2 linked regions of the Anolis sagrei genome follow. The protein of the gene in region 2 interacts with the protein of the main gene of each other region in a biochemical or structural test. Links are inferred from orthologs where the notes say so. Each region holds a gene or a part of one and is shown on either strand. Other genes may lie near its edges. The genes, in order: SF1 and TCERG1.

Region 1 (15,680 bases), on a different chromosome or scaffold from region 2:
TGTCACATCAGATCACGGAAGACATTTCATAAGGAAGGAACCTCATTGAACTGACATTACGATGCCACCAAAAATTTATTGAAAAAGGTAAAAAGTGTTACTGTCAGCTGGTTAAAACTGTTTTCCCAACCTGTCCTCAGGGTTAGGGGGGATGCCCAGGTCTCCTGTGCGCAGTTTACGAGTCAGGTCTTCTATCTGCAGTTGCACTGGAAGAAACCAGGTTAGGAAAGAAAAAAGGATGGAAAAAAAGACAATGTTACCAAAAAACATTTCAAATCTCAACATCAAAGCATGAAGAACTGGAGAATTTGTAAGGGACGACTGATACGTCAACATAAAAAATCAAGAAAATCCTACAACGTTATGTCAGTCAAATGCATTCAACAGGAATCCAGAAAAGACCCTCCTTAACTCTAGCAAGTCTTCAAAAATAGTTATTGATCAGTAAGCAAAACATTCATAGGAGTGTTAAGGGAGGCTGGCTGTCAGGACATTGAAAGGTAACCATCTGACTTTCTATAGGAAGAGAGGACACCACTGACTTTGATTTCGTTGCAATATCAAGGCTGTACAGGCCCAATTTTGAAACACATTTCATACCAGTTTAGCAGGAGTTCGCATTCTTTGTTAACTAACAGAGCACACTTCTACGTATATAATGTGACCCTTTGCTAAAATATATCATTATGCAAAACCTTTATGTCTTCTATTCAATTATGCATACACACCCAGTATTCCCAAATGCAGTACTAACAGATGTCAAGCATTAGCCGTTGGTTTTTAAACTCAAAATATAACATTTTGACTCTAGTTCATCCAATGAGTTCAAGATAATTAGCTAGCGGAGAGCATTGGGCACAGAACAGCAGCTGGTTTGGGATGCAGGCCTTAAGCCCCTTGCCCAGAGGCGGCTTTTGTTCCAAGTCCCACGGACATCTGGCAGGCCACTCTGGAGAATATGGTTTGCGGGTGACAACCCAAATCACTTGGAGCAAAGGTACACCCACTTCCATATTCATGAAAGATTAACCATGCATAAAATATAGGAAGGAAGCTGGGTCCTGATAAATCTATTCACTTGGGCAAGTATTTATTTTTATTTATTTATTTAAAACTTTTATATCCCGATCTTCTCACCTCCGTAGAGGGACACAGACCGGCTTACAGCAAGGATTCAATGCTACTAATACAAGTTAAAACATCATACAAAAATACAAGATTAAAATACATATAGATAAAATACATATATACCAAACTGCCAAGGTAAAACGATGTTCAACTCAGTCCGCATATGTGGTCACTCACTTTGGTCTGTAAATAGTCTCAGCCATTATTCTGGGAATGCTTCATTCCATAACCAGGATTTCACTAGCCTCCTGAAGGACAAGAGGGAGGGGGCAGATCTAATCTCGTTTGGGAAAGAGTTCCATAGCCGAGGGGCCACCACAGAGAAAGCCCTGTCTCGCGTTCCCACCAAGCGTGCTTGCGAAGGTGGTGGGACCAAGAGCAGAGCCTCTCCGGAAGATCTTAACGCCCTTGATGGTTCACAGGGGAGAATACATTTGGATAGTATCATGCATCTCCAGTACCCTACTTCTCTCCATTAACTTGGGGAAGAGGTCACTTATTCCACATAAAAGACCATTCACAGTTCTGTGTGATTCAAAGTTCAATGAAGAGAAATGCCTTCCTTATGCAAGAAAAGGAGGAAAGTTCTCTCCATTTCACTGAGGACTTTAAGATCGTCTGGGGAGGCCCTGCTCTCGGTCCCGCCTTCATCACGAGTACGTTTGGCGGGGACGAGAGACAGGGCCTTCTCAGTGGTGGCTCCTTGGCTAATGAGATCGGGTATGCCAACCAAATTCGATATGGTTGTTGATACAGGAGATCAGATCTGCTCCCTCACTCTTAACGTTTCAGAGGCAAGTAAAAACATGGCTGTTCGAGCAAGCGTTTACAAATGCAGAGTAGCTAATATAGGAAATCGAATGACTTGACAATGGAACTGGACTAAGCTTGATAATAATGAGATGCTAATGATGTTGTTTTATTGCTCTTGTGGTGTTTTATACTGTTTTAATTTATATTACGTTTTTATGTATACTGATTTGTTGGAAACCGCCTTGAGTCACCGACTGGCTGAGAAAGGTGGTATACAAATACAGTACATCAATAATAAATAAATAAACAAGAAGTACAAGAAACCAGTATCACTTCTGCTTGATCAAAAACCTAACCCGACTGGATCACACAAGTCCACATAGTATTATATTTAGGCATCTGAGAGGCCTTTTAATGAAACCCTCACAGAACGACAGTGCTGTGAGGGAGGCCAGGCAGCGGTGAATGAAGTGTAGCAAGGCTGAGACATGAAACTGGGCCTTGTCTTTTGAAAAAAAAGACAGTACAAAACCACAGCGCCTTCACTGCACTTTTCCAGCTTCTTTGAGGGACCAGGGAAGAGGCAGAATGCCCAATGTATGGTCAAAGAAAACCAGAAAGTGGGCCTCCAAGTTGGAATTTAGGGAGCTTGAGGAACACTTTGAAACCTCAAATAAAGCTCAGGGATTCATATAGCATGTTTTGATCAGAAGATATAGCCTGAGCATCCTGCACTGTTTTCTTTACTTGCTTTAAACTGATTTATTTCCCATTTCACAGGCTGCATTCAAGATTTTAGAAGTGGGACTGTAAATGTTAACAATACAAAAAAAAAGCATTAGTTTCTCAGTTTGACAAGACAGAATCTTACAAAACTGAAAAACAGTATTTCTCAGGGACAGAGTATTCTAAATATCTCAAACAGACAATACATTTCATTAATGTGTTTTAACGTTTTACACCAAACAGACTGATCGAACTAATGGATTTCTAAACAAATATTCACACCATTGATCGTTTTCAGGCATTGCATCAACGCACATCCACATTGGTTCAAAATCTCAAAACACGTGATTATTCATTGACGTTCTAGAGAATTGGACAATGTTGTATGGTCGGGATTGACTCTATTCTTTCCAATACTATTCTGTATTTTGAAATATTTCAGCAGATCAATTATTTGCTGGGATTAAGATCGTTTATCTTAATGTTCATAACTATTTTCAGATGTATTTGGTAGTCCCTCTTTCACAAATCCCAATTACGATATGCATGCACTTTTGCTATGGAGTCCTTTGGTACTCTGTGTGTCATACCTCTACCCTTTCGCTATTTATCCCGTTCAGCTGTGGGTTGCAACACCAGTTAGTACAGCAAGTGAAGCACTCGTATCTTTGCACAGAATGAGAATTCTGACCCAAATCTATTACCGTATATACTTGAATACAAGCCAATCCGAAGATAAGCCGGGGTACCTAATTTTACCACAAAAAACTGGGAAAACGTATTGACTCGACTATAAGCAGAGGGTGGGAAATGCAGCAGCTGCGAGTCAACTTCAAAATAAAAATAGATACCAATAAAATTACATTAATTGAGGCATCAGTAGGCTAAAAGTTTTGGAATATTGGGATGTGATGTTTTAAACTATTGTTTATGAATCTTTGTTGTAAACCGGCCTGAGTCCCTCTCTGGAAGTCAAGAAGACCGGTATATAAAAGTTCTAAATAAATAAATGAATGAATAAATAAATAAAATATTTACTTAAAACTGTAATTTAAGATAAGACTGTCCAACTCCGATTAAACCACCATTTTAACTTCCTTCTATGTAAATGTGCTTACCTATTCTTCCAGTAATGATAAAGAGAGTAAAATAATAAAATAATAATAGAGTAAAATAATGGAAATGTAATAATAGCAATAATAAATAGGGGAAATGTATTATAATGTAAATGTAATAATAGAGTAAATAAATGTAATAAAATAATAGAGTAAAATAATGTAAATGTAATAATAGAGTAAAATAATACATGTAAAAATAATGGAAATGTAATAATAACAATAATAATAATAAATAGGGGAAATAATAAATGTAAAAATAATGTAACTATAATAATAAAGTAAATAAATGTAATAAAATAATAGGGTAAAATAATGTAAACGTAAGAATAAATAGAGTAAATAAATGTAATAAAAATAATAAGAGTAAAATAATGTAAATGTAATAATAAATCAAGTAAGTAAATGTAATAAAAATAATAATAATATAATAATATAATGTAAATGTAATAATAAATACAGTAAATAAACGTAATAAAAATAATACTAATAATAAATAACCTTGGCTCAAGTATAAGCAGCGGGGAACTTTTTCAGCCTTAAAAAGGGGCTGAAAAACTAGGCTTATATTCGAGTATATACAGTGATTTGTAGACATGGTTCTGATAAAACTGATCAACAGGTATAATCAGATTTATTTAAATAATTACAGAAATGTATTCATAATTCCAATGATTCGACATTAGGAACTGTTTCTTCAATATACTTTTTTCAAGCCAATTATTTTGGTGCCCCATTAGCTCCATTACCCAGCTTCTATCAATGAAATATATCAAAATAGCTGTTTTCTGCAAAGGCTTAAGACTCATGGCCAGGTAAAAGCTGAACAAAACCAACCCTATGTTGACAGTAAGGAAAACTACCTCTTGTGGAATGAAGTGCAGAGCATAACATAACAAGATCAGCTTTTCCAATGTGCCTTCCAGTTTTCCTATACTGAAACTTTGCCTGACACTGAGGCAGACTATTCTGCACTGTAAAAAAACCTATTTTGTTAATTTTGAAAGTAAGCCAGTTCATGAGGCTTTAGAGCAGAAAAGTAGCTCTCAGTATTAACTCTGAACAGTTGAAGGTTACATATCAAACTTCTCAAGTGATTTATGCACAAGAAAGGAGTAATTGTCTTCTTTTGTAACATCAGTGAGATGAACAGACCATAAGGGACATTTGCAGCTGATAATGAAACATCAGAGCGTCCTAGGAGGATTTCACACAAATACACATACACACTTTGCATTCTATTGCAAATACAATTTCTGTTCATTCCCAAATGCAGGATAATAGTATGTAACACTTCTCAATCTTCTCAGAATCAAGCGGTATTCCCAAATTCCTTTCCCAGCAAATGAATATCGCTCCCACCATGCTAATACAACCCAATCCCCAAGTATTTCATGATATTAAAAAACCCCACAAAATAAACACGCAACCCAGAGGTTAAGAAACGTTCCCTTCTGCTAAGTGGTACAAACAATCTTCACTATCTTGAAGGCTCAACGTTAACTTTGCATAATTAGCATAGTAAGGTACAAAAGGTGAGAAGGGAACCATGGTTAGATTACAATATTCCAGTGTGAAAGAGGTGCTTGCTTCCAAACAATATAGCTTCAAAGAGGACTCTTAGTGTTCTCCACTAGCAAGAAGTCTGTGATGCTTATAAGAGATCTGGATGATTAGTTTCCATGGCCAATTGACTAAATATCAGAAAATGTTAAATCTCCCACCCTTTCTAAGGACTTCAGTTTCTAATATGCCTGTGGAGGACACTGTTTCAATCAAACGCGACAGAGGGGTGGGATGGAACACAATTATTCACTGAGAAAAGAGTCTATATTATATATACATATGGTAATGAAAACAAGACCACCATAACCCAAGCCTTTGAAAGCAAACACTGAAAATCTTGAATGCACACCACAGCTAAAAACACTTTCTGGATCGGTACTGGCACGAAAACATGAAAGAACAGAACAAGTATTTACCTATATAAGCTCTCTCTTGTTCACGGGTAAGCCCAGGAGGGATGACTGTGGGCATGCCAGGGATGACAGTCTTCTGGTCCATGGTGTCCTGGTTCCATCTGCTCCTCTTTCTTTTTTTATTAGGATAATCTGCAAACACATTATACCTAATTATAATACCAGTCCCATGCAGGCAAGATTCAGGCTATGTTTGTGTCTCGTCAAAATTAGTTTTCCCATCATAAACTCTTTTTATACTCACTCAAACACATTCTACCCCAATTCTCCATTAACAAGCTACCACATGTGATCTGGAAAACTATTTCACAAAACCAAGGGAGGAAAAAAGGAATAACGTCAGGTGTCATCCACATAATACTGTTACCAAACTTCAAAAACCCAGACAACTAACTGTATATACTCGAGTATAAGCCTAGTTTTGCAGTCCCTTTTTTAGGCTGAAAAAGCTCCCCTCGGCTTATACTAGAATCAAAGTTATTTATTATTTTACTCTGTTATTAGTATTATTTTTATTACATTTATTATCTTACTCTATTATTACATTCACATTATTTTACTCTATTATTATTTTATTACATTTATTATTTTTCTCTATTTATTATTGTTATTACATTTATTCTTTTACTCTACTATTATTAGATTTATTATTTTACTCTATTATTATTATTAGTATTATTGCATTTACATTATTTTACTCTATTATTTTATTACATTATGATCTGGTCATCAACCATAATAAAGCTTACTTACTATTATTTTACTCTATTTATTGTTATTATTACATTTCCATTATTTTACTCTATTATTACATTTCCATTGTTTTATTCTGTTATTATTATTTTGTATTACATTAACCTGACATCCGCCGGGAAGTAGCAGCCAATAGTGAAAGGACCAAGGCAGGGGCATCTCCAGCTCATCCTCTGTTTGGGTATCAGCCAGCACGTCAAGAACTTAAATCTAGAAATAGTTTTCTAAGATCTACAGAGACACTGGCTGGAACACCTCAGCAAGCAAGAGTCCAAAAGTGAAAGGCTCAAACCCAGCACCTCAATCCGTGGGTGATACCAGATGAGAGACTCCCCCCTGGGCACACAGAAGACGGGGCGACTTGGAAGGTGCTGAACAGACTGCGCTCTGGCACCACGAGATGCAGAGCCAACCTCAAGAAATGGGACTACAGGGTGGAATCCTCGGCATGTGAGTGTGGAGAAGAGCAAACCACTGACCACCTGCTGCAATGCACCCTGAGCCCTGCCACATGCACAATGGAGGACCTTCTTGCGGCAACCCCAGAGGCACTCCAAGGGGCCAGATACTGGTCAAAGGACATTTAACCGAATACCAAATTTGCAAAATCTGTGTGTGTTTTTTTTCTTTTTAATCTGTGTGTTTGTTTTGTTCCGTTAGAATTGTAACACAATGGTATGGCTGCTGATGACACGATAAAAAAGTTATTATTATTATTATTATTATTATTATTATTATTATTGTGGGCCCACTGGCCTGAGGCCCCTTCCTTTCCCCCTCACCTGCTTAAGGAAGGGTCCTGAGGCTGTTAGGAATCCAACCCAAGCGGGGTGTCCCCTGCCCGGCCTACCCAGAGGAAGGCAAAGCAGCCACGGTACATACTTGGGCTGAGCGCGAGATAGGCGGACTTGCCTTGGCTCCCGGCCTGCCCGCCCTCGTCCTGCTGCTGCTGCTGGAGGTGGAGGCCATGAAAGCCTACGAGCCCACGAGGACCTTGAGATCGTCTGGGGAGGCCCTTCTCTCGGTCCCGCCTGCCTCACAGGCACGGCTGGCGGGGACGAGGGAGAGGGCCTTCTCGGTGGTGGCCCCCCGGCTGTGGAACACTCTCCCTGCACACATCAGACAGGCGCCTTCCCTCATGTCCTTTCGAAAAAGCCTTAAGACATGGCTTTTCGAGAGGGCATTTAATTAAGTGCTAATAATACGGTTATGAGAACTGGAACGGAACTGGAATGAGACTGGCTATGATTCCACTAAGAGACGAAGCGGATTTTTAGTGTAGTTTGTAGTTGTTGTATAGTCTATATGTTGTCGAAACTGGCTTTTTGTAATTGTCTTTTATGTGTACTGTACACCGCCATGAGTCGCCCTTATGGGCTGAGAATGGCGGTCAATAAGTGCATCAAATAATAATAATAATAATAACAATACATTCACACCTAGCTCCAGCAGAGAAGAGTCCTTTGCCCCACCCCAGTCATTCTAGATATAGATATGTATATATATATATATATATATATATATATATATACAGAGATGCAGGCGAAACGTCAGGAGAGAATGCCTCTAGACCAGTGGTTCTCAACCTGGGGTCCTGAGATGTTTTTGGCCTACAACTCCCAGAAATCCTAACAGCTGGTAAACTGACTGGGATTTCTGGGAGTTGTAGGCCAAAAACATCTGGGGACCCCAGGTTGAGAACCACTGCTCTAGACCATGGCCATACAGCCCGAAAAAGCCTACAACAACCCATTGTGTTAATTGTTTTTAAATGGTTTGTATGATGCTAGCCTTGAATTTTTGCTGTTGTTTGTTGTTAACCGCTCTGAGTCGCCGAAGGGCTGAGAAGAGCTGTATACAAACAAAGTAAATGAAGTAAATAAATAAATTCTTGTGTGCCAATTGTCCTCAGGCCCCTTCTTTTCTCCCCTCAGTTGCTTAAGGAAGGGGCCTGAGGCTGCGAGGAGTCCAACCCAAGCGGGGTGTCCCTTGCCCGGCCTACCCAGAGGAAGGCAAAGCAGCCACGGTACATACTTGGGCTGAGCGCGAGATAGGCGGACTTGCCTTGGCTCCCGGCCTGGCCGCCCTCGTCCTGCTGCTGCTGGAGGTGGAGGTGGAGGTGCTGCTGGGCCGCCACGGCCTGAGCCTGCTGTTGCTGCTGCTCGAGGCCTAGCGCGGCCTGAGGCGGCGGGGGAGGCGAGGGGAAGCGGTACTGGGCGTACTGGGCCTGCTGAGGCGCCTGCTGCCCTTGCTGAGGCGGCGGAGGAGGTGGAGGTTGCTGAGGCGGAGGCTGGGGTTGCTGAGGCGGAGGAGGAGGTGGTGGAGGCGGCGGAGGAGGCGGCGGCGGGAGCGCGGCGAAAGGGAAGGCCGCGGCGGCCGCCATGAGGCTGGGGATGGCCGGCTGGGGCTGGGCCTGCGCGGGCGGCGGAGGAGGAGGAGGCCCCTGCATCACGAGGCCCGGCGGAGGGAGCGGGTAGCCGGCTTTCCCCGGCGGAGGAGGCGGCGGCGGCGGCGGATGGAGCTTCCCCAGAGGCGTCGCGTTCGCTCCGGTCGCCATCGACGGCGCTTAATGGCGTCCCAGGCCCGTTCGCGAAGCTTCCACGCCAAAGGCTCGCCTCACAAAGACCGCGCGCGCCGATTGGCTGAGGCAGCCGTCCGTCACTGCGCCGATTGGGCAAGAACCGAGTCTGTCAAATCTCTAAAGCTTTGATTGGCTGCACCGCTGAGATTGGGTCCCTCCTCTATCTATCAAGGTACTTTTGTGCGCCTAATGGTCGCCAAAGACATCCTTCACTCCACCGATTGGGCAAGAGCCGCGTCTATCAAGTTCGCACCGCTGTGATTGGCTGCACCGCTGAGATTGGTTCCCTCCTCTATCTATCAAGGTACTTTTGCGCGCCTAATGGCCGCCTGAGCCGTTCTTCACTCCGCCGATTGGGCAAGAGCCACGTCTATCAAATCTCTTCCGCTGTCATTGGCTGCACGGCTGTGATTGGTTCCTCCTCTAACTAACAAGGCGTCTAATGGCCGCCAATACAGTCCTTCACTCCGATTGGGCAAGAGCCGCGTCTATCAAACCTCCACCACTCTGATTGGTTTCCTCCTCTATCTCTCAAGGTAGCCCTGCCCGCCTAATGGCCGCCAAAGCACGCCTCCACTCCGCCGATTGGGCAACAGCCGCGTCTATCAAATCTCTACCGCTTTGATTGGCTGCACCGCTGTGATTGGTTCCGCCTCTATCTATCACGGCGTCTAATGGCCGCCAAAGCCGTCCTCCACTCCGCCGATTGGGCAACAGCCGCGTCTATCAAATCTCTACCGCTTTGATTGGCTGCATTGCTGTGATTGGTTCCGCCTCTATCTAACACAGCGTCTAATAGCCGCCAAAGACATCCTTCACTCCACCGATTGGTCAAGAGCCACGTCTATCAAATCTCTACCGCTGTGATTGGTTCCTCCTCTATCTATCAAGGCGTCTAATGGCCGCCAAAGCAGTCCTTCACTCAACCGATTGGGCAAGAGCCACGTCTATCAAATGTACACCGCTGTGATTGGCTGCACCGCTGTGATTGGTCCCGCCTCTATCTATCACAGCGTCTAATGGCCGCCAAAGCAGTCCTCCTCTCCGCCGATTGGGCAAGAGCCGCGTTTATCAAATCTGCACCGCTCTGATTGGCTGCACCGCTGTGATTGGTTCCTCCTCTATCTATCACGGCGTCTAATGGCCGCCAAAGCAGTCCTTCACTCCGCCGATTGGGCAAGAGCCGCGTCTGTCAAATATCTACCGCTTTGATTGGCTGCACCGCTGTGATTGGTTCCCTCCTCTAGCTAGCGCCTAATGGACGCCAATTGGTCAACAGCCGCGTCCATCAACCGTCATTAGCCAGACACAGCCTTCACGTCCTCTGTCTTTCAAGGTGTCCCGCGCGCTGATTTGATACTTAGGCCTTAGTAGGCGGGAGCATACCGCGTCCATTTTGGAAGGCGGGATCTAGGGGAATCTAACGCTGTGATTGGTGAAGCTCAATTGCTTTCAGGACTTTCCCTCCTCGCTGCCACATGGCCCGCTTCCTGAGGGACTTTTCTGCCACGAGTCCCATAGAGATAAGTGACGTCAGTGGAAGCTCGGGCTACCATTGGACGGTGAAATAAAGTAGCGCCGCAGAGGGAAATAAGGAGGCATTTGATTGGCCCACGTTTTCTTCCATCCACGAGGCTGGCGGGAGTTAGGGCCTAAGCCTGGTGTTGCAAATGAATCAGGAGGTCGCGAGTTCGAATCCCGCTTGGGCCAAAAAGGGAAAAAAATAGTACTGCAGGCATCCTCATTACTACATTAATATACTATATTATTATATTATTACATTATGATTATAATTACTATAGTATGATATTATTACACTTTATATATGTGACATTATTATTTTTAAATTATTATACTATATTATAATAATTATATATAGAATTATAATAAATTATATAATATTAACAATTATATTATTATACAATATGATATTACATCACTATATAATATATATATTATATTATTATATTAACATTATTATACTATATTATATTATTACATTATGGTTATAATTACTATAGTATGATATTATACTTTATATATATGACATTATTATTATTAAATCAATATACATATAATAATTATATATAGAGTTATAATAAATTATAAAATATTAACAATTATTATATTATTATACAATATTATATTATATCACTATATAATAATATATATTATATTATTATATTAACATTATTATACTATATTATAATAATTATAGAATTATAATAAAGTATATAATATTAACAATTATTACATTATTATACAATATTATATTATATCATATAATAATATATATTATATTATTATATTAACATTATTATACTATATTATATTATTACATTATGGCTATAATTACTATAGTATGATATTATTATACTTTATATATGTGACATTATTATTTTTAAATTATTATACTATATTATAATAATTATATATAGAATTATAATAAATTATATAATATTAATAATTATTATAGTATTATACAATATTATATTATATCACTATATAATAATATGTATTATATTAACATTATTATACTATATTATATTATTACATTATGGTTATAATTACTATAGTATGATATTATTATACTATATATATATGTAATATTATTATTTTTAAATTATTATACTATATTATAATAATTGTATATAGAATTATGATAAATTATATAATATTAACAATTATTATATTAGTATGCAATATTATATCATATAATAATATATTATATAATATTTCTATTATAATATAATATTATTATTACATTATTATATCATATTGTTGTATTATGGTTATGAGGTTGTGAGGTTTGTTGGAAACGAGGAAAATTATTATTATTATTATTATTATTATTAACTTTATTTGTACCCCGCTAGCATCTCCCGCATGACTCGATGCGGCTTACAAAGGCCGAGGCCTCAACACAGCTTTGAGATGGTAGAACAGAAGCTCTCCGAAGCTCTAGGTGCTCTTACTGCCTATTTCAGGGAAAACCAGCTGATCCCTAATCCATCTAAAACACAGACATGTGCCCTTCATCTCAAGAACAGACAAGCATCCCGAGCTCTGAGGATTATTACCTGGGAAGGAATCCCACTGGAGCATTGCAGCGCACCCAAATACATGGGAGGAGTCACTCTGGACCGTGCTCTGACCTACAAGAAGCACTGCCTGAACATCAAGCAAAAGGTGGGTGCTAGAAACAATATCATACGAAAGCTGACTGGCACAACCTGGGGTTCACAACCAGACACAGTGAAGACATCTGCCCTTGCGCTATGCTACTCTGCTGCTGAGTATGCATGCCCAGTGTGGAGCACATCTCACCACGCTAAAACAGTGGATGTGGCTCTTAATGAGACATGCCGCATTATCACGGGGTGTCTGCGCCCCACACCACTGGAGAAATTACACTGCTTAGCCAGTATTGCACCACCTGACATCCGCCGGGAAGTGGCAGCCAATAGTGAAAGGACCAAGGCAGAGACATCTCCAGCTCATCCCCTATTTGGGTATCAGCCAGCACGTCAACGACTTAAATCTAGACATAGTTTTCTAAGATCTACAGAGACACTCGCTGGAACACCTCAGCAAGCAAGAGTCCAAAAGTGGCAGGCTCAAACCCAGCACCTCAACCAATTGCTGATACCAAATGAGAGACTCCCTCCTGGGCACACAGAAGACTGGGCGACCTGGAAGGCGCTGAACAGACTGCGCTCTGGCACCATGAGATGCAGAGCCAACCTTCAGAAATGGGGCTACAAAGTCGAATCCACGACATGCGAGTGTGGAGAGGAGCAAACCACTGACCACCTGCTGCAATGCAACCTGAGCCCTGCCACATGCACAATGGAGGACCTTCTTGCGGCAACACCAGAGGCACTCCAAGGGGCCAGAAACTGGTCAAAGGACATTTAACCAGCTACCAAACTCACAAGTTGTGTATTTTTCTGTTTGTTTGCTTTGTTCTGTTAGACTGGTTGTTCTGACACGACAAATAAATAAATCATATTGTTGTATTATGGTTATGAGGTTGTGAGGTTTGTTGGAAACGAGGAAGATGGGGTTTATATCTCTGTGGAATGATGTCCAGGGTGGGTGAAAGAACTTGTCTGTTGGACGTAGGTGTGAATGTTTCAATTGGCCACCTTGATTAGCATTTAATGGCCTAGCAGTTTTCAAGGCATGACTTCTTACTGCCTGGGGGAATCGTTTGTTGGTAGGTGATTAGCTGCGTATGAGCCAATCAGAAAGCTTCTACCGCCTCGGCACTCTAGCAAATCAGGAGGAAGGGAGGCGGGACAAGAAGAAACAATGCTTTCTTGAGTGGATTATGGAATTCCAATGTCCTGGGGCTTCTTGAGTCCAGAATCAGCCTTCTAAGGAAACTAACTTTATTGTCCTGAGATGGGTCAGTGATAAGTTATGATGACTTAATCAAGGTTTTCCTCTTACAATCAGATAGGGCACAAAGGGGAAACTTTTGTGAATGTCCTTAGTGGAAAGATTTGAAAGAAAAACGGCTTGGAGGAAAAGAGGGCTTTCCTAAGGTCATATTCCCCCCACTGTTATATGATTAAAAAGTCTGCCGGACAGGAACCCTTAAGATGGCCCAACAAATCAAAAGGATTTCCTTTACTATTGTCCATGCAAAGATTGTCCAAAGATATTATTATTATTATTATTATTATTATTTACTTTGCTTATATACCGCTGTATCTCAAGCCCGAAGGTGACTCACAGCAGTTCACAAACAGTAAAAACAGTAGAACAGCAGTGGTTCCATACAACATATAACAATTGACTTAACACATTATCCATAAATTACCAATAAGCCATTACAATGCACAATTATTACAAAAAACAACCGTACCCAATCTTCTCCTCATCCAAGCGTAGTCCAGGTTCGTCGTCCATTGTTCCATTCCTATGTTCCATTACCAGATTGCACTCAATTACTCAAACGCCTGCACAAACAACCAGGTCTTCAACTTTCTTCGGAATGCCATGAGAGATGGCGCCAACTTAATGTCTGTAGGAAGGGCGTTCCACAGCCGAGGAGCCACCACCGAGAAGGCCCTATCTCTCGTCCCCGCCAACCGTGCTTGAGAAGCCGGCGGGATCGAGAGCAGGGCCTCCCCGGAAGATCTCAAAGTCCTGGTGGGTTCATAGGCAGAGATGCGGTCGGAAAGGTATCTTGGGCCGGAACCGTTTAGGGCAGTGGTTCTCAACCTTTCTAACACTGTGACCCCTAAATATGGTTCCTTGGGTTGTGGTGACCCCCAACCATAAAATTATTTTTGAGATTGCGAGGCAGGCAAGGAAGGCTTTGCATGAGGCCTGGGCTTGTCCAAAGCCTTGAGGGACGGGGGCCAAAACTTTGGGGGGCGGGGCCAAAGGAGGTGGCCTCATGACCCCTCCGAAATGGCCAAACGACCCCCAGGTTGAGAACCACTGGTTTAGGGCTTTATAGGCCAATGCCAACACCTTGAATTGAGCCCGGTAGCAAATCGGCAGCCAATGGAGCTGGCGCAACGGGGGTTGTGTGCTCCCTGCGCTCCGCTCCTGTTAGAATCATGGCTGCCGCACGTTGGACTAATTGAAGCTTCCGGGCCGTCTTCAAGGGCAGCCCCACGTAGAGAGCGTTGCAGTAGTCTAGGCGGGATGTGATGAGAGTGTGGACTACCGTGGCCAAGTCAGACTTCCCAAGGTACGGGCGCAGCTGGCGCACAAGCTTTAGCTGTGCAAATGCTCCCCTGGTCACCGCCGAAACCTGAGGTTCCAGGCTCAGCGATGAGTCCAGGGTCACTCCCAGGCTGCGAACCTGCGTCTTCAGGGGGAGTGCGACCCCGTCCAACACAGGCTGTAACCCTATGCCCTGTTTGGCCTTGCAACTGACCAGGAGGACCTCTGTCTTGTCTGGATTCAGTTTCAATTTGTTCGCCCTCATCCAGACCGTTACAGCGGCCAAGCACCGGTTCAGGACCTCGACAGCCTCCTTAGTAGCAGGTGGGAAGGAGTGACAGAGCTGGACATCATCTGCGTACAGATGACACCGCACCCCGAAACTCCGGATGATCTCTCCATTTTAATCATATGGGCGACAGTATTGAACCCTGAGGAACCCCACAAGACAAAGAGAAGGGTCTTTTCATGATTGCTGATTGCTTTTCCAGAGGCAGGGCAGCTTCCTTGTAGATTTCCCCCAAGGAGAGGGGAAGGGGGCAAAAGGTTCAGGGCAAGGTCAGAAAACATGAGGGGAAATATAGAAATACAGGAGAAAATATGAAAATAAAGAAGTCATAACACAGAGTAAACCCAACTACCTTCCCCCAGTGTCCATAGTTCATATTACTCACAGGAAGGTCCATAAAGGAAAATATATCCCTGAGGGAGTGCCGCAGGGCTCCGTCCTGGGCCCGGTCCTGTTCAACATCTTTATTAATGACTTAGATGAAGGGCGAGAAGGCAGGATCATCAAGTTTGCAAACGACACCAAATTGGGAGGGAGAGCCAATAGTCCAGAGGACAGGAGCAGGATTCAAAGGGATCATGACAGATTAGAGAAATGATTGGCCAAAACTAACAAAATGAAGTTCAACAGGGACAAATGCAAGATACTCCACTTTGGCAGGAAAAATGAAA
Region 2 (15,680 bases):
GAGAGATAATCAAGATGAAGTCACCACCTCTTATTATTCTGAAGTAACTGCTTCTATTTATATATTTATTTTTGGCATATCCTGACCTACTTACACCAGGAACACCAGCTGGCAAAGACAATTCCTTCAGATTCTTCTAAAAACTACACCAGTTCATGTAGCTGTAGCAATAAATCACCAGTTCCTCTTGACATTTTGACATGATCACCATAGAATAGTTGGGAATATGCTCTGTCTCTGTGCTCTTTGTAGATTCCCATCTGTGACTCTATGAATATTTGATGCCAATGGCCATTCTACATACCAACATTGCTGATAAGTTTTTGCCCAGAAGCTAGAGCACAATTATCAGCCATCAGAGTAAGTTAAAAAGAGCACATTCATTAGTAACATCAAAGGAGCAGATTGTGTGTATTTGAAGAAAGGGAGAATATGAAGTGAGATATAGATTCATAGTTTTATTGATTTCATAAATGGACAATTTTGGGAAACAATTCACTAATTCAATATATATTTAACTGTGTTTTTCCTTTCCCTTGCTCCCCTTGCATGATTTCCCTGTATATTCTTCATATGGTCCTATCTTGCCTATCTCAAATATAATATCATCTTACAAATGTTATACTGCCTGCCTAGAGACTGTTCTGAGTCAGGTATATTACTTATCTGAATCAAACAAGGGAAACCATAATTTAGATAGGAAAATACACTTATTTTCAAAAAAGAGATCATTTTACAATAAGTAATCATATATATTACAATGTTACACTTTCTGTGCTAGTATCTACAAGGAAGTTAGTTGAAGAAGCAAGAAAATTGAGTTTATCAACCACAAAGGTTGTTCTAATCCTTTGTACTGGAAAGGTAACTTGGTCTTGAATTGGTTAGACCTAACAGGTTTACACAGTACTTGCTCCTAATGGAGATGAAAACATATGTAACAGCTGCCTGCATTTTTAGTTCCCTGTGAAGGTATTGTTATGCTCTCCTGGCACTGGTCTGTGTGATGTTATGGACTTTTGATGCAGAATGTTATTTAATTAAATATATTAAGGTAATTTGGCTGTGCATGCATTTTGTAATGAAGTAAGGAGCTGTAGGGAGGGGTGAGAGAATTGAATATTGGCAGTGAATAGTGGGGGGATTTCAATAAGGTTGGTGGACAACAGTTGATATAGTCATTTAGAGTTGTCAGGGTAGTTAGGTAGGAGGCAGAAAGGTGTGAATGAAGTGGGAATCACAATTAATAGAGTCAGTCAGTCATAGTTAGGAATTAATGTGTTTAAGAGTCTTAATTAGCTAGAAGTGGAGAGTGAGAATGTGAAATGTTTTAAGTGTTTTAAATAATTAATCTGCTTTGTTGTTTTCAACTTCTCTTAATAAAGTATAGCTTTTGTCTTTATGCACTTTTGGCCTCCGGGAATGCAATATATTAAGCTTGGATTAAAACAAAACGATTGGCAGCAATGAATAAAGAGGAGTGATGCCTAGTGTCCAGAAGTTGCATAATATCTCACACGGATATCTTGAGAGTATCTAGAATCTCCTCACAGTTGGAGGCCACAGATGTGGAACAGGAAGAGGTCCCTAAATTGATGGCTGAGGTGGGAACAAGTAAAAGCCATCATTCTTGATAGTCACAACTTACAAGCAGTTTGTGGAAGTCTCTGTGTTGGTGGCAAGTCTCATATCTGGTGGAAGCAGTGAGTTAAATGGTAAATCTGTAAAAGGATAACCACATATTTCACCTAGGAAAACCAACCCTTTATCCATTAAAGGGAAAACCCTCACAGGCTGCACTTCAAAATTTATCAGTGGATTACTGTGTTTGATATCACCTAAAATAGAACTGAGCAGTCTTGACTGCAATCTAGTCTTTTTCTGTGCAGTAATTAAAAAAACCTATGAACTAACCAATGGTAGATGAGAGGAAAAGAGATCAAGGGATGGGACCTTCGTCTTCACCCAAATACCAGTTAGACTCTTCCTAAGTGGTAGATGAGTAGCAAGACCAAACTAAATCTGCTTAAATCATCAGGCCGGCCAAAATTTGTATTAAAGCTATCCAATGGAAGAACTTAGCACTGATGTATGGTAGGAAAACGTGAGATTTCCTGGATGTTCTTTCAGTTCAGTTTTCAAAGCATTCCCCCAGAGGAGAGGCAGAAACAAATATTGGACTTTCTTGCATGATTCCTTGATAATATTGTTGTAAGAACCTGGGAAAACTCACAGCAACCCTATGTAAGAGTTCTTTCCATCTTCTAAAGTTGTTGAAGGGGGTCTCCTAGTGGCTGAAAAGAGGAGTTAAAGTAACACATGCAAATTATTTAGGGGGGCTTAAGTGAGTATAGTTGTAATCTTCATTACAGCAGACTCTGGAATATAGTTGATGTATCAATGATAAGAACTCAAAGCATGTAAAATGTTTTTTATTAAGTAACATGAAGTACATACGCACCAACAACATGCTAGCTGCGGGATTTTTCTTTGTAACTACTGCTCTCCCTTAATATCCAGCAACAGCAAGCAGACTTAAGAACAGCTTAAACAGATCTCACTTCCATTTGTCAGGCAGTTTCTTATCTTCTTCCTCCAGTCACATTTGTAATGTAAGGCTAAAGTGATATTCTTTCCTCTTAACTCTTGTTCATCGGATCCCAAAGAACGAAAAAGTAGGATTGATGTTTGTTAGAAAGCCAAAGCCCTTATTGTAAACACAGGTTTCCGAGCCCTTGGTCTTCACTGAGGTCATCTAGATACAAAACAGTTATGGCTGTGTATCTTTCTAACACAAATATTTCTGTATTTAGTAAAACATTTGCAGAAGCAGCATCATTAAATTAGAATTAACAGCATTCATTTTAATTAACTGCTGGTCTATGAAACCTCTTACAGAACACTGCCAATATCTATATCTGTCAGCTGGATTCTCAGTAACATGCTCATCACAGTATTAATGGAATTGGTTAACACACTTGTCATGGCTATTTGCAGGTGACAGCTGTTTTTGCCCCTCACCTCCAACAATAACTCAATTTTCCAAGTTTTATGTAGAAATCAAAACATGAGACAAAATTAACAGCTACTATTCTGTCCATTAATTTTGTAAGCAACCATACTTTTGCAAACTTCAGTCTTGTTTTTTTTTTCCAGAGCACACAACCCCACAGTGTAAGCCATAATGTTTTTTTTTCTGTTCCCTGGTTTGTTGACTCTTTGTAGGGAAATGTAGGGGTGATGTTATGACATAACAACAGTATTATTTATTAACGAACAGAGGGGTCATTAAATGGAGTGAAATAAACCAGTGAAAGAACTGAGCATCTTATCTGAAAATAAAAGGACTTGTCCTTGTTCTAGGGACACAAAATCAATTCCTAGGGGCCCTTCCACACAGAATATTCTATATCCCAGAATATAAAGGCAGAAAATCCCACAATATCTGCTTTGAGCTGGGTTATCTGAGTGTATACTCAGATAATGTGAGATTTTTCTGCCTTGATATTCTGGGATACAGGGTTGTGTGGAAGGGCCCATTGAAAAATCACAGAGAAACAAGCTAGAAAAGGGTTCTCAGCCACCTACTTATCTTGGCAGACCTGGTGCCTTGTCTGCAAATGTTATAGATCTGTGTCCATGAGGGCTTTTTTCATGTGTGAATTTAATATCTCCAAGAGAACATTTGTACAATTCAAAATTTAAGTAACCAGAGTTCTTTTATGATGGCTATATAAAATGTTCAATGTGAAAAATAAAGAAAATGTTCCAGGATCAGATCCTTTAAAATTCAAAAGAATAGAACAACATGCTGAAGCCATCACCTTGCACTGCTGAGCCAGGCATGGCTTTGGCATGGCACCATATTTATCTTTCCTTTAAAGTAACTTCCCTAGATCTATAATGGGCAGTTAAAATGCTACAGCCAGTTGCTGAACTGAGTTCTGAGAGCTGTAGTGCAACCATAAAAAAAACCCTTTCCAGGCACCTGTGCTGTTAGCTTAGAATGGTGGTTCCCAACTTTTTTTTTTTTTTGACCAGGGACCACGCTCCAACATTAGTACCAAAAGGGTTATGAATCAGATTTTGGTCAACTTTAGATTTGGTTTGGTTATTTGGGGTGCTGTTTCAGAAAATTGTATTGGAGAGAACACATCAGCTCTAGTTTCTGATAAAGAACATATATCATCTGCTCACCCACAGAAAACCATATTTAATAATCTAGAGCTGATGAGGTAGTAGTAATCTTTTGTGAGTAGTCAGCCCTCCTGATATCCCAGTTACCTCAGCACTATAAGAGGGTTTTGCGAGACCAGTTGCTCTCAATGCAATGGTGTAGTAACGGTAAGACCGTGGACCACTGGTGGTCCACAGATCACAAGTTGGGAACCATTGGCTTAGAACCGTGATGGTGAACCTATGACATGTGTGTCAGCACTGACACACATGGCTATTTTTGATGACACACACATTCAGAGAAGTACACCTTATAAGAGCCAATCTAATTCCATCCTTAAATTTGTAAAAGGCTCTACAAATTTAACATCTGCATGTTTGACCATTGTTCACTCCATAACTCAGCATGGAATATACATTTTTCTTATTTAAACTATAAATACTGCAAAATTATGTTTTTCTCTCTCGAAGTGACACCCCACCCAAGTTATGCTCAGGTTTTTGGCAAATTTTGACACACCAAGTGCAAAAGGTGGCTTAGAAGTACTAATCCCCCTAAAGTTTAGGAGAACACACACCTATGTTGTGCAGTCCATCCTCCCAAATGGGAAGTCTTTCCTTTCATAAGGATAAAACGGAACCTGCAGCACCTCTGAGATTACCTGAGAAAATTTCTAGCATAATCTTTAGAGGATCCCAGTCCCACTTCATCAGATGCCAACAAGGTCTGGAGACTACAAAAGCTCAGGGGAGAAATGCCCCTTTTCAGTCTCAAAGGTGCTGCAGCTACAGGATACCTTTCTATATGTTTATACTGAAACAGATCTAACACTACATGTCTTTGAATGTACCCCTCCTTAGATATGAGCTTTTTAGTTTAAATCCCTCAAATAATGTTAAGTTGGACGATTAAGGGTATGCGTGCCAAGTATTATGGCTTCACATGAAGCGAGTTTCGAGTCAGAGCGGGCCTGGACTTCTCCAACCAGAGCCGTGGTCAAAATCCTCCCTTTTTCCATACATTTCATTCTGCGGGCAGCCCTCGTTTCAAAATGATTTATCTAACAATAGACTCCGAAAGGTAGGATTCACACAACGTGTCGCGCCTCTACCACTTTCCTGCCTCTAGCTATCGCCTGGCGCACGCTTGTCTTTGAACACCATTTCCGGGTCACAGTTCACGTGACGTGCCGCTGAAGGAGGCCGCGAGAGGGCGCTTCTTGATAGCCTTTGAGCCAAAACCCTCCAGTCCCGACTCGCTTTCCTCCCCTCATTCAAAATCGGCGGCGGAGGCAGCCAATCAGGGAGAGGCGAGCCCCTGACGTCCCGTGATTGACGGGAGAGGCGGCCAGTGGCGAGGAGGGAACCGTAGCGAGGGTGGGCGTGTGCGGCGGCAGTGTCGGCTGGTGATGGCGGAAAGAGGAGGTGGTGGTGGAGGAGGAGGAGGCAGTGGCGGCGGCGGAGGGCCTGGCGGCGGAGAAGGCGACGCTGCCGCAGCGGAGCGCTACAATAATGAGATTAGGTAAGGCGGAGGAGGGGCGGGGAGGTGGAGGAGGAGCACGCGCTGCCAGGAGCACGAGGCCTTTTGTGAGCGAGCGGGCGGGCGGGCCAGCGCGCGCGCGCCAAGAGAGGGAGCGCGAGCGGCCTCAGGCTGTGACCTCAGCGCTCTCTCTCTCTCTTTCTCTTTCTCCTTCTGCGCGCGGGGTCCCCCTTGTCTCGCGCGCGCCCTCTTCCCTTAGCGCTCGAGGCGGAAGTGGCCGTTTAGTCAGTCTCCCCTCTCGCCTTCATTGCCAGCTCTGGCCCGGTGAGCCTCGCCCGTTAACTGGCGCCTCCTGCCCGTTCTCAGGCCTTTATCCTCGCGCGGTGGCTACCCTTGATAGCCACAGTGTTTATTTTTTTTTCCCGTGGAGTGTTCCCCCCCCCCACGAGAGCGTGGGGGGGGGGCTACTCTCTCGTACGCGGTGACGTCTCAGGCCGGGGTGGGGGCTGGCGGCGAGGGGCTTCCGTTAGGAAAGCGGGAAGGAGGAAGTCCTCCCGCTGTCCTCCAGTTCAAAGGCCCGGTCTGGAACCACGTCGACTGTAGAATTCATGGAGTTCGACACTACCTTGCACCTCACCTCCCTAGAGAATGAATCTCCTTGAAATCCGGTTGCTGCCTCTTGCAGAATCCTGAGGTTTGTGCTTTAGGGAGAAGCCCTTAACGGCCTCACTAAACTACACACTCCAGAACTCTGCAGATGGCAGAAACCGGATTTAAAGTGGATTTATTCTCTAGTTTGAGAGAATTTTAACTGCCATGGCTCGATGCTATTGAGTCCTGAGAGTTGTAGTTTGGTGAGGTACCAGCACTCTTTAGCAGAGGAGGCCCAAGCTCTTGTAAGAGTACAACTTTCATGATTCCAAAGTATTGAGCCAGGGCAGTTAAACTAGTGTCGAGCTGCAGTAATTCGATAGTATAGATTTTTTTTTAGCTACTATTTTATCACGCTAGAGAAAAAAATTGGCAAAAGTATGATAGCTGGGACCCACTGCTGGTTGCACATCGCGGGTCAGAATTCAAGAAGCCAAGACATAACGTATTTGAATATGTTTGCATACTATATCCAGATAGCCTTAAGCACTATACTTGGCTGTTGGTCCCCCTCCCCCTTTCTGGTGAGCTATCTTGCCACAACTTTGCTGCACCTGCATCTCTCACTGCACTGTCACAGCATTGGGTCCCAGCTATTATACTTTTTGCCAAAAAATCCACTTAAAATCCAGTTTCTGCCTCCTGCAGAATTCTGGGGTTTGTAGTTTAGGGAGGAGCATTTAACAGCCTCACTAAACCACAAACCCCAGAATTCTGCAGGAGGCAGAAACCAGATTTTAAGTGGATTTTTTTCTCTAGTGTGATGAAGCATCAGGTGCATCCCTTGAGAGGGTTTGTGGGCTAAGAGCAATTTTCATGCTCATAAAATGCTCTGAACCAACAAACTAATCCTGAGAGGCAACCTCCCCCGCCCCCCATCTGAATCCTTCCAGATGTGTTGGACTACAGCTGCTGTCATTCCCAGCCCTTATCTTCCTGGCTGTTGTGATGGCACTTATGGTTCAGGCATAGTTGGAAGAGCTAGGCAGGAAGACTGCTGTATTAAACCATGTGTGACAAGATACCCTTAAAAATTCACTGAGTGTAAATATTGGTTTCAATTAAAGTAAGTGCATTAAAAATTAAAAAGTCATTCAGGGATGCTTGTACATAGCATCTCCCCGAATGTAGAAAACAGTTCACTTCACAACTTATTTCATTGATTGAAATAAACAGTCCAGCTAAAAAATGTTTGTACATAACAATTGCACAAGGAGACCTTTCCATGTTGGAAATGCCAAACACCATGTGTGATGTTAGGATATCCCCGTGTTCTACTGTGTTTCTACATGTGTGGTAGAAAGCTGTGTTAATGTACAGCAGTGTATGAATGCAGATGAGCTATGCATAATTGATATGCATACAATGTGATGTGTTAGTTTTGCCCATTTCTAGTCATGGAAATATAGTGATTGACCCTGACAAGAACTTTTACTAAAATAATCTTCCATGCTGCTTAATGCTACTTTATAGCAAAGTTGGATGGAAAGTGAGCTCTTCTACTTATTACTGTGCACTTGCAAGATACCACAATACTATGTATAGTGTTACACGTGCAAGGCTATACAAGGCAATTGATGTTTTCACATGACATGACAGGTCAGGGATCTTTGACAACTCTATCTTCTCATGAATGAACAGCATGCTGCTTGCAGTGAGGATGACTTTTTGTGCTGTCTAGCAACATGGAGCTTCTCTTTCCTGTTTTCCCTCCCACTAAACCAGAAAAAGACATCAAGGACAAATATTTGATCCTTCCTTGTTTATTTGAATTGAATCAATTTTAAATGAATATCGATGTCCAATCCTAGAGAGCCCACTGCCCAATTGAGTTAGTTTATCCACTTCTATTGCAAATTATCTGTTTCCACAGATCACTTGTGGTCATGTTGTGTTGATGTATCCTGTAAGTCATTCTAATGAAAAAGGAATTACCCAGAGTCTGATGGTGAAGGTAGTGAAAAGCACTGCATCTTTGTCTACAGTTGACAAGAAAATGCATCTTGTATCATCAGGCTCTCAGATTTTTTTTTAAAAAAAACCTTTAAAATATGCTTTATGACCAGTAAACAAGACTAGGCTATGCAAATGGAATAGGCCATGTACTGTAGTCCCACATCTTTCTGTTGTCCAAAACAGAAGTGATTACAGCAGCTAGGATTTACAAGTCTTGTAGTAATAATCCCTAAATTGCTGCCAGCTTCTCCTTTTTCATGTACCAGACCTTATGGAGTGACAAATATTTAATGACTTGTGGGCACTTGGGGGGGATGAGGAAGCTCTGTCCCACACCAGAACACTGTGTACCTTTTGACAAGTTGTTTGTGCCTGAAAAGCAAGCATGAACTGAATTGAAAGAACCAAATGATCTCAATACATTTGCTTCATTGGTCGTCTTCTAATAGAAAATGGTAAAATTAAAGGTCAAGTGAAACTTGAATTGCACAACAATATCTGTTGGACAGATTGCCAAAATAAATAAATAAAGCCTTGTGATGTTCAAACTAATATGTTGCTTCACTTGGCTGACACTTTCAAGCAGCCGGTTCTTCCATTTAGAACCAATGTCCTTTTTTGTTAAAGCAGCCAAGACTTCTTCTTTTCACTTATAAATGCGTCCATTTAAAGGAGGTCCAATGAACACCTTTTTTTGCAAATGTGGCGGGAATATAAATCTCTAAGCAGAGAATCTTCAAATAAGACTTAACAAGGACGGGGGGGGGGGGGGGGGGGGCTATTGAAAAATTACATTTCCCATCTACCATCTGAATGTGTCATTGGAATCATAAAAAGTGAGAAGAAAACAAACCAAAATCAGTTCTGAGTCTACTTATTGGCTATCAGTTTTGTGATTTACAGTAGCCTTGTACATAATGTCCTACAGACATGACAAAAGAAGATCCTTTTGACATGTCATAGAGCACTTTTTTTAAGGCACATGATTGTTCTCAAATAATAAAATGAGTATATACTCTATTAACTATGCACATATAGCTATTTAGAATAGATAAGAGCAATATGTAGAAAGGAACCCAACCTTGTTTATATTTTGAAAAAAAATAATTGAAATATTTACATATGTAGATATGTTGATACAGTGATCAGGTGTAGATAGAAACATTTCAGTTGGTACAGACCCCACAAGGTGTTATATGTTTACAGTTCATATATATTGCAGTAGAATTTTGATATACCATAATGGTATGCAGTTTCTAAATGAGAAGGTGTTTAAATAATGAGTGTTGAATTATATATTTGTTGTCGTTCGCCACCTTATAACCTTTGTTTTTTTCAATTTTGAGTCATCATGCCAACATTGGTATTGCACTGGCACTAAATGGTGGGCAAAATTGTTTTCCTGAGAGCATCAGAAGAGCGTTTGTTGGTTACAAAGGTGAACTTTTTATATATATATATATATTCTAAGTTACTTCTTTAGAGGGCTGGGTGGTACAGTGGGGTCAGTGTACTCTAATATGACTTTAGGGTACAAATGAAAGGATGTTGATGGCTTTGTTCAAGTGAGTTGTGGGCACCCATTCACATTATGACACGTTTGGTTGCCTTCTTGTTTGCTATCAGTAGAAAATGATTTAGATGCCATGGGTATATAGGAGCAGTGTGGGTATCACATCTCATGTTGGAGGTGCTTTATAGTTAGGCCTATGGGAGGGAAGCTTTCACAGTGCCTTTCCATTCTAAGGAATTGCGGACAATTTAAATATTGCGGACATAGCCTCCCAAGAAGTTTGAACCCTAGCATTGTTTGAACTTATGTCACAAAGCTCTGATTCACTTATCGCACCAGCACCCTTTTGGTATGCAGAAAGCTTGAACATAAAACTGTTTCTTTTTTACTTTGCTTGCAGGATGGCTCAACAGCAAGCACTGAGATTTCGCGGTCCAGCTCCTCCACCAAACACTGTCATGAGAGGGCCACCGCCTCTTATGCGTCCACCTCCACCTTTTGGTATGATGCGAGGTCCACCACCACCACCAAGGCCACCCTTTGGACGTCCCCCATTTGATCCAAATATGCCTCCAATGCCACCTCCAGGAGGAATTCCTCCACCCATGGGACCTCCACATCTCCAGGTAAGAATATGCATGAAGTGTAATCCCCTTTCTTGTTTTGTCCAAGGCCTAATGTGGAATGTATGATTCGCAGTGACTACTAAGGAAACTACAGTTACAGGTAAGCAACTTATAATTCTTGTTTTGTCCAAGGCCTAATGTGGAATTTTCTCTGTCTTCCCATTTCCAATTGTCATTTTTTTCTTTAACATTGTTAAAGAACCTCTTTCCACAGCTTTGCTGTTTATGTTTCATGTGTGCTTTCCTTGGTTATCTATTTACTATCTGATTGGCTTTGACATGAGTTGCCTTCCACCATATTTCCTTCATTCTATTTATCTTTAAATTTTAACTTAAATGGGTATTTCTTGTAGTTTTTCATGTCTCAAAATCAAGGATGGGGACTAGATGTATTCACCTCTGGGAAAAGACATTTACTTTTATAATCTGCCCACCCATGCTTCATTTTTCTGACAGAAAGCTGCACTGCTTCTGTTTTTTCAACTGTTTGGGGGTTTTCTGCAATGTCTTTTCCCATTACTTTTTTTGAAGTCTTTGAGAGATCATTTTGCAGGAAGTTAATCTTTTACTTCCTTCCTGAAAGTTTTATTGTAACACAGTTTTTTTGATTCAATTGACATTTAAAATGCTTATAAATCTCAGATATTAAAGATCTCTGCCAGTGGTAAAGGGGTGATAGATTTACAATAATCCTATTGGGATGAGGTTATTTTTTTCATAGTAAACGTTAAGGAGTTTTTTAAAATTGCATCATTGTGTAATGCCATCAATATTGTCCTCATACATGGCAGGGTGATGTTGAGAGTAGGCAAAGGCTTTCCCTGATCTTTTTGTTAAATGTTTTAATACAATTTAGGATTTTGCTGTGTAATGTATTGTCTGACGTCTTGTGCTTTTTTTATGCTGGGGTATGTAATTTTTACTCTTTCAGATGTTTTAGGTTGTGTTGTGTTAAGTTTATTTTGCTTTTACTTGACTTCATTTTGTGTTTTATTTAGGGAGGTTTATTAAATTTGCAGATAACCTAATGTATAAGCAGAATAAAAATATTGTAACTTCCTATCATTGGAATATATACATGGAGATTTTCTATCCTTTGAACTCTACCATTAGTAGATTGATTTTTTGTTACATGTGATAGATTTTTTGCAATAATCATGAATGTAATACTTTTATGTATGCCAAATGGGAAGGTTAATATGAGAGATTACAACAAAATTTTCTATGGGATCTTCCTTTGACTTTGTCCTGAACTCAAGTATTCTTAAAATAATCAGCTTGAATTAACATCTTCCCCTGCCCCTCCCCCCCCCCCCCCCCCCAAATTGCTAATATCTTTTCTTTTACTACAGATCACTTCTGAGAGCTGCTCAAAATGCTTAGCTTACAGCTATACTGCCCAGGGACCAATGCAAATTTACAGCACATCAGTTAAAAGAGCACATAAAACCGATGCATCTTAAAATCAGTCAATACAGACTTAAAAAAAATACCTAGATGTGTGTGCCAAAATGATTTGTGGCACCCCATACTTCTTTCTCTAAGGACCATTTCTGTTCATTTTATATTAACTTCAGTTTTTACAGTTATTTTACAATATATGCTGTTTCCTCTTAATTATGGAGGTATTGTGGAGTGGAATACATAATGTAATCTTTTACTTACTTTTGTTTATTTTTATAGAGACCCCCTTTCATGCCTCCTCCTATGGGAAATATGCCACCTCCTCCTGGCATGATGTTTCCTCCAGGAATGCCACCAGTCTCTGCACCTGGAACTCCAGCAATGCCACCTACAGAAGAGATATGGGTAGAAAATAAAACTCCAGATGGAAAGGTCAGATTTATTCTTAGTAATAATTACAGTTATTCTGTCATTTTTACAATTCATGCTATGTTAATAGAATTTAGTAACCTGGTTGGTTCAGGTGGTTGAATAATCTGCCTATGTTTATTCATTAGATAGATTAATTTGGTATTGTGATGTTCAAACATGAATTAAAATATTAGGTCAATTGTGTAGCCTAAAATTATGTCCTCTCTTTCAAGGTTTATTACTATAATGCACGAACACGTGAATCAGCATGGACCAAACCTGATGGAGTGAAAGTTATTCAGCAGTCTGAACTGACACCAATACTGGCTGCACAAGCCCAGGCACAGGCTCAAGCTGTAGGTGCTTCCACAACTACTACCAGTAGCCCTGCATCAGCAGTATCTCCCTCTGCCTCCTCAAATAGTCAGTCCTCTACAACCTCTACTACTACTACTGCAACATCTGTTTCACAAACAGTTTCCAGTGAGTAAATTTTGTAGGACATAGGAAGGGATGGGAAATACATTTTATCTGGGGAAACATGCTAGTGTGTCACTTACAACATTCACCGTAAGACCTTTTGACACATGTCAGTTGATGCTATTCTCCATCCCCTCCCTATTTCTCTTCATCTGATCCATTCTGTGCATATGTGGAAAAAAGAGAGGGTCACATTTATAAACTGTTCTCAAGATCTGATCTATTATGTGAATGTTGTTTTCTGTGTTGACTACCATGTGGAGGGCCCAAGTGAAAAAATACATTTGAGTTAAAAAATACTTTGAAACCCATATATTCTGCTGTTTCAGGAGGAAAAAAACAACACCTTATTGAAAAGTAACTCACTTATCAAGCATGAGTCTTGAGTGCCTTTAGGATTTTCCTGATTTTCCCTCTTGAGATCATTACTTTGTATCTGTGGTGAGCACTTCTTATCATGCCCTTCCACACAGTCATATAATCCAGAATATCAAGGCAAAATGACCCACAATATCTGCATTGAAGTGGAATGTCAGAGTCCACACTGCTATATATCCCAGTTCAGAGCTGATAATGTAGGATTTTATTCAGTTGTATGGAAGGGGCCTTAGTCAAGTTTTTCTTTTGCCAACAGGAAGAGAAAAACTTATTTTGTTGCAATTTAGGCAGATAAGAAAATCTTTACTGACTGATTTAATCTGAGGTACTTTGTAACCCAAACAACAATTCCATTGTATATCAGGGTGGAAAAATGCCCCATGTTGGTACAGAATCAAGGTTTTCCCATAACATCCAAACAGAGCCAGAAAATGTATTGTCTTTCATGGCCGGAATCACTAGGTTGTTGTAGGTTTTTCAGGCTGTATGGCCATGTTCTAGAAGCATTCTCTCCTGATGTTTCGCCTGCATGGGTGGCAGTCATCCTCTGAGGATGTCTGCCACAGATGCAGGTGAAACGTCAGGAGAGAATGCTTCTAGAACATGGCCATACAGCCGGAAAAACCTACAACAACCCAGAGCCAGAAAACTTTTGGAGACTGCATGTTTGTTTTGAGTAAGTGTCAGCCTTGTATTTTGCAAAGAAGGAAAGAAAAGAAATCATAATTGTTGTATTAAAAAATACTACTATTTTAATTGTGGCAGGTAGTTGAAGCTCAACAGAGTTTACAATTCTTGAGAGTAGTAAATGTTACAGTAAATACCTTGTAGGTCTAGTTGTTTTTGAATTCTGCAATAAAATATGACTGGAAACTAACGTTTGTTTGGAGAAGGATCAAAGTAAACGACACTGAAAAGCAAATATAATTATTAGGTTGTCTTGCATTTCATATACAAGGTAATAGGTACCGTTAACGCCTTAAATCTCAGGCTGTAGAATTCTTTATTAAATACTAATGCCACTTGGAGGTGCTATAGCATCCTAAACAGCTTTTGGTGCCTGGATTCAAGGGATACAATTTTGAACAGAGTAGAAGTGCTATGAGTATATAGATATTGTACTGTTTACATTATGTTTTTAATTGTTGTGTTACAGCATGTACATTCAAGTTAGCCAAAAGCATAAGGGGTTTTTTTTTTGGGGGGGGGGGGGGTAATTTTCTTAGTTGTGCAAGTTAGTAATGCATCGTAAACTGACCATACTTGCTGTTTGATGAATCAACAGAAAACTTCTGCCACTGATCTGGAGGTTTGTTAGGTGCATTATGTGGAAAATATGAAGGTGAAATAAAATGATAAATCTGTCCTTTGAAGAAAGCTGAAAAATCTCAGTATCAGCTCTTTTCAGAAATGTACTTTACATAGCCTCTTGAGGTGAGTGTGTGTGTGAATGAAGTAAATGTTCAGAGCTGCAGAGATTGTTTCATGACTTGTTCTTCACAATAGAAGCCCCCTTTAAAGGAAGCTATAATAATAGAGCACATTGAAGACCCCAAATCAATATTTGTAAAACGCTTTTCTTCTGAAGGAGATCCCTGCTGAAGTAAAATATTATGCGCATTTAAGTTACATCTCTGAAAATTATATAGATGTATCTTTCTTAATTCATCTGAGATTATGCCCAGTTTTGCATCAGTGTACATGGAAAGATTGGTGAGTCCTATTAAGTGTACTGCATATGCTACATGATCCATAGTTTCAGATATCTGTTTTCTTTATCAGCACCTACAACACAAGACCAGGCCCCTAACTCAGCTGTTTCAGTCGCCACACCTTCCGTCAGCGTTTCAACCTCTGCTCCTTCTGCTACGCCTGTGCAAACCATCCCACAGCCCGGCCCACAGACATTGCCTCCTGCCGTTCCTCATGCAGTACCTCAGCCAACAGCAGCAATTCCTGCTTTCCCACCAGTAATGGTACCTCCGTTTCGTGTCCCCCTTCCTGGCATGCCTATTCCACTACCAGGTAAATTGGGAAGTCGTTGCTTTTCTTGTCAGCCCCATGTTCATGTTGTCAATTTGTTTGCACTCATGTGTCCACTGTGTATGAAATTTGCCTGAATCTCTTCATTGAAAATATATATTCTTCAACAAAAGTGGAGTTGTTAGACCAACCTTTCAAAACCACAATTTCCAATACTTCTTATTGGAAATAAGCCACATCCATGTAAAATAGTATTTTGGCATGAGCAGAATACATCTTTTGCTTCAACAAACACAATTTATTGGTTTTGCAGTTTAGTTGGAAGAAATTCATCTTGTCTCTGGTATTAGCTTATCCTGTCATCCTTTTCATACTTAGCTTGACAGTAAGCCCCATGGAACCAAGTGCATAGGATTGTGTTATAAAAGGCCTTGCTCTTCAAATTCAGTAATATCTGGTAGAACTAGACTCCACCCTTGAAATAAAATAAGATGTAAACAGGTTTGCATTAAGGTTGGGGAACCTGTCATTTACTAAATAATGCTGGCTTTCTATTCCCATCGTCTTATCCATGGATATACTAGGTGAGGGAAGTGTAGTCCAACAAAACCTTGGAGATCCA

Evidence for each region.
Region 1: the proteins of TCERG1 (region 2) and SF1 form a complex in vitro, tested with the Homo sapiens proteins (3 studies listed by BioGRID). The link is inferred for Anolis sagrei from reciprocal best matches to the Homo sapiens genes TCERG1 and SF1.

The regions. Positions count from the first base shown.
Region 1 is NC_090032.1:19,634,057-19,649,736, forward strand, and holds the start of SF1 (splicing factor 1), read right to left. Parts: upstream 9,081-15,680; 5' UTR 9,012-9,080; coding exon 8,519-9,011; intron 7,414-8,518; exon of another isoform or gene 7,337-7,413; intron 5,834-7,336; coding exon 5,705-5,833; intron 207-5,704; coding exon 131-206; intron 1-130. UniProt on the Homo sapiens protein: Necessary for the ATP-dependent first step of spliceosome assembly. Binds to the intron branch point sequence (BPS) 5'-UACUAAC-3' of the pre-mRNA. May act as transcription repressor.
Region 2 is NC_090022.1:97,867,991-97,883,670, forward strand, and holds the start of TCERG1 (transcription elongation regulator 1), read left to right. Parts: upstream 1-5,571; 5' UTR 5,572-5,585; coding exon 5,586-5,698; intron 5,699-5,906; exon of another isoform or gene 5,907-5,980; intron 5,981-9,609; exon of another isoform or gene 9,610-9,701; intron 9,702-10,176; coding exon 10,177-10,402; intron 10,403-12,085; coding exon 12,086-12,238; intron 12,239-12,450; coding exon 12,451-12,700; intron 12,701-14,857; coding exon 14,858-15,100; intron 15,101-15,680. UniProt on the Homo sapiens protein: Transcription factor that binds RNA polymerase II and inhibits the elongation of transcripts from target promoters. Regulates transcription elongation in a TATA box-dependent manner.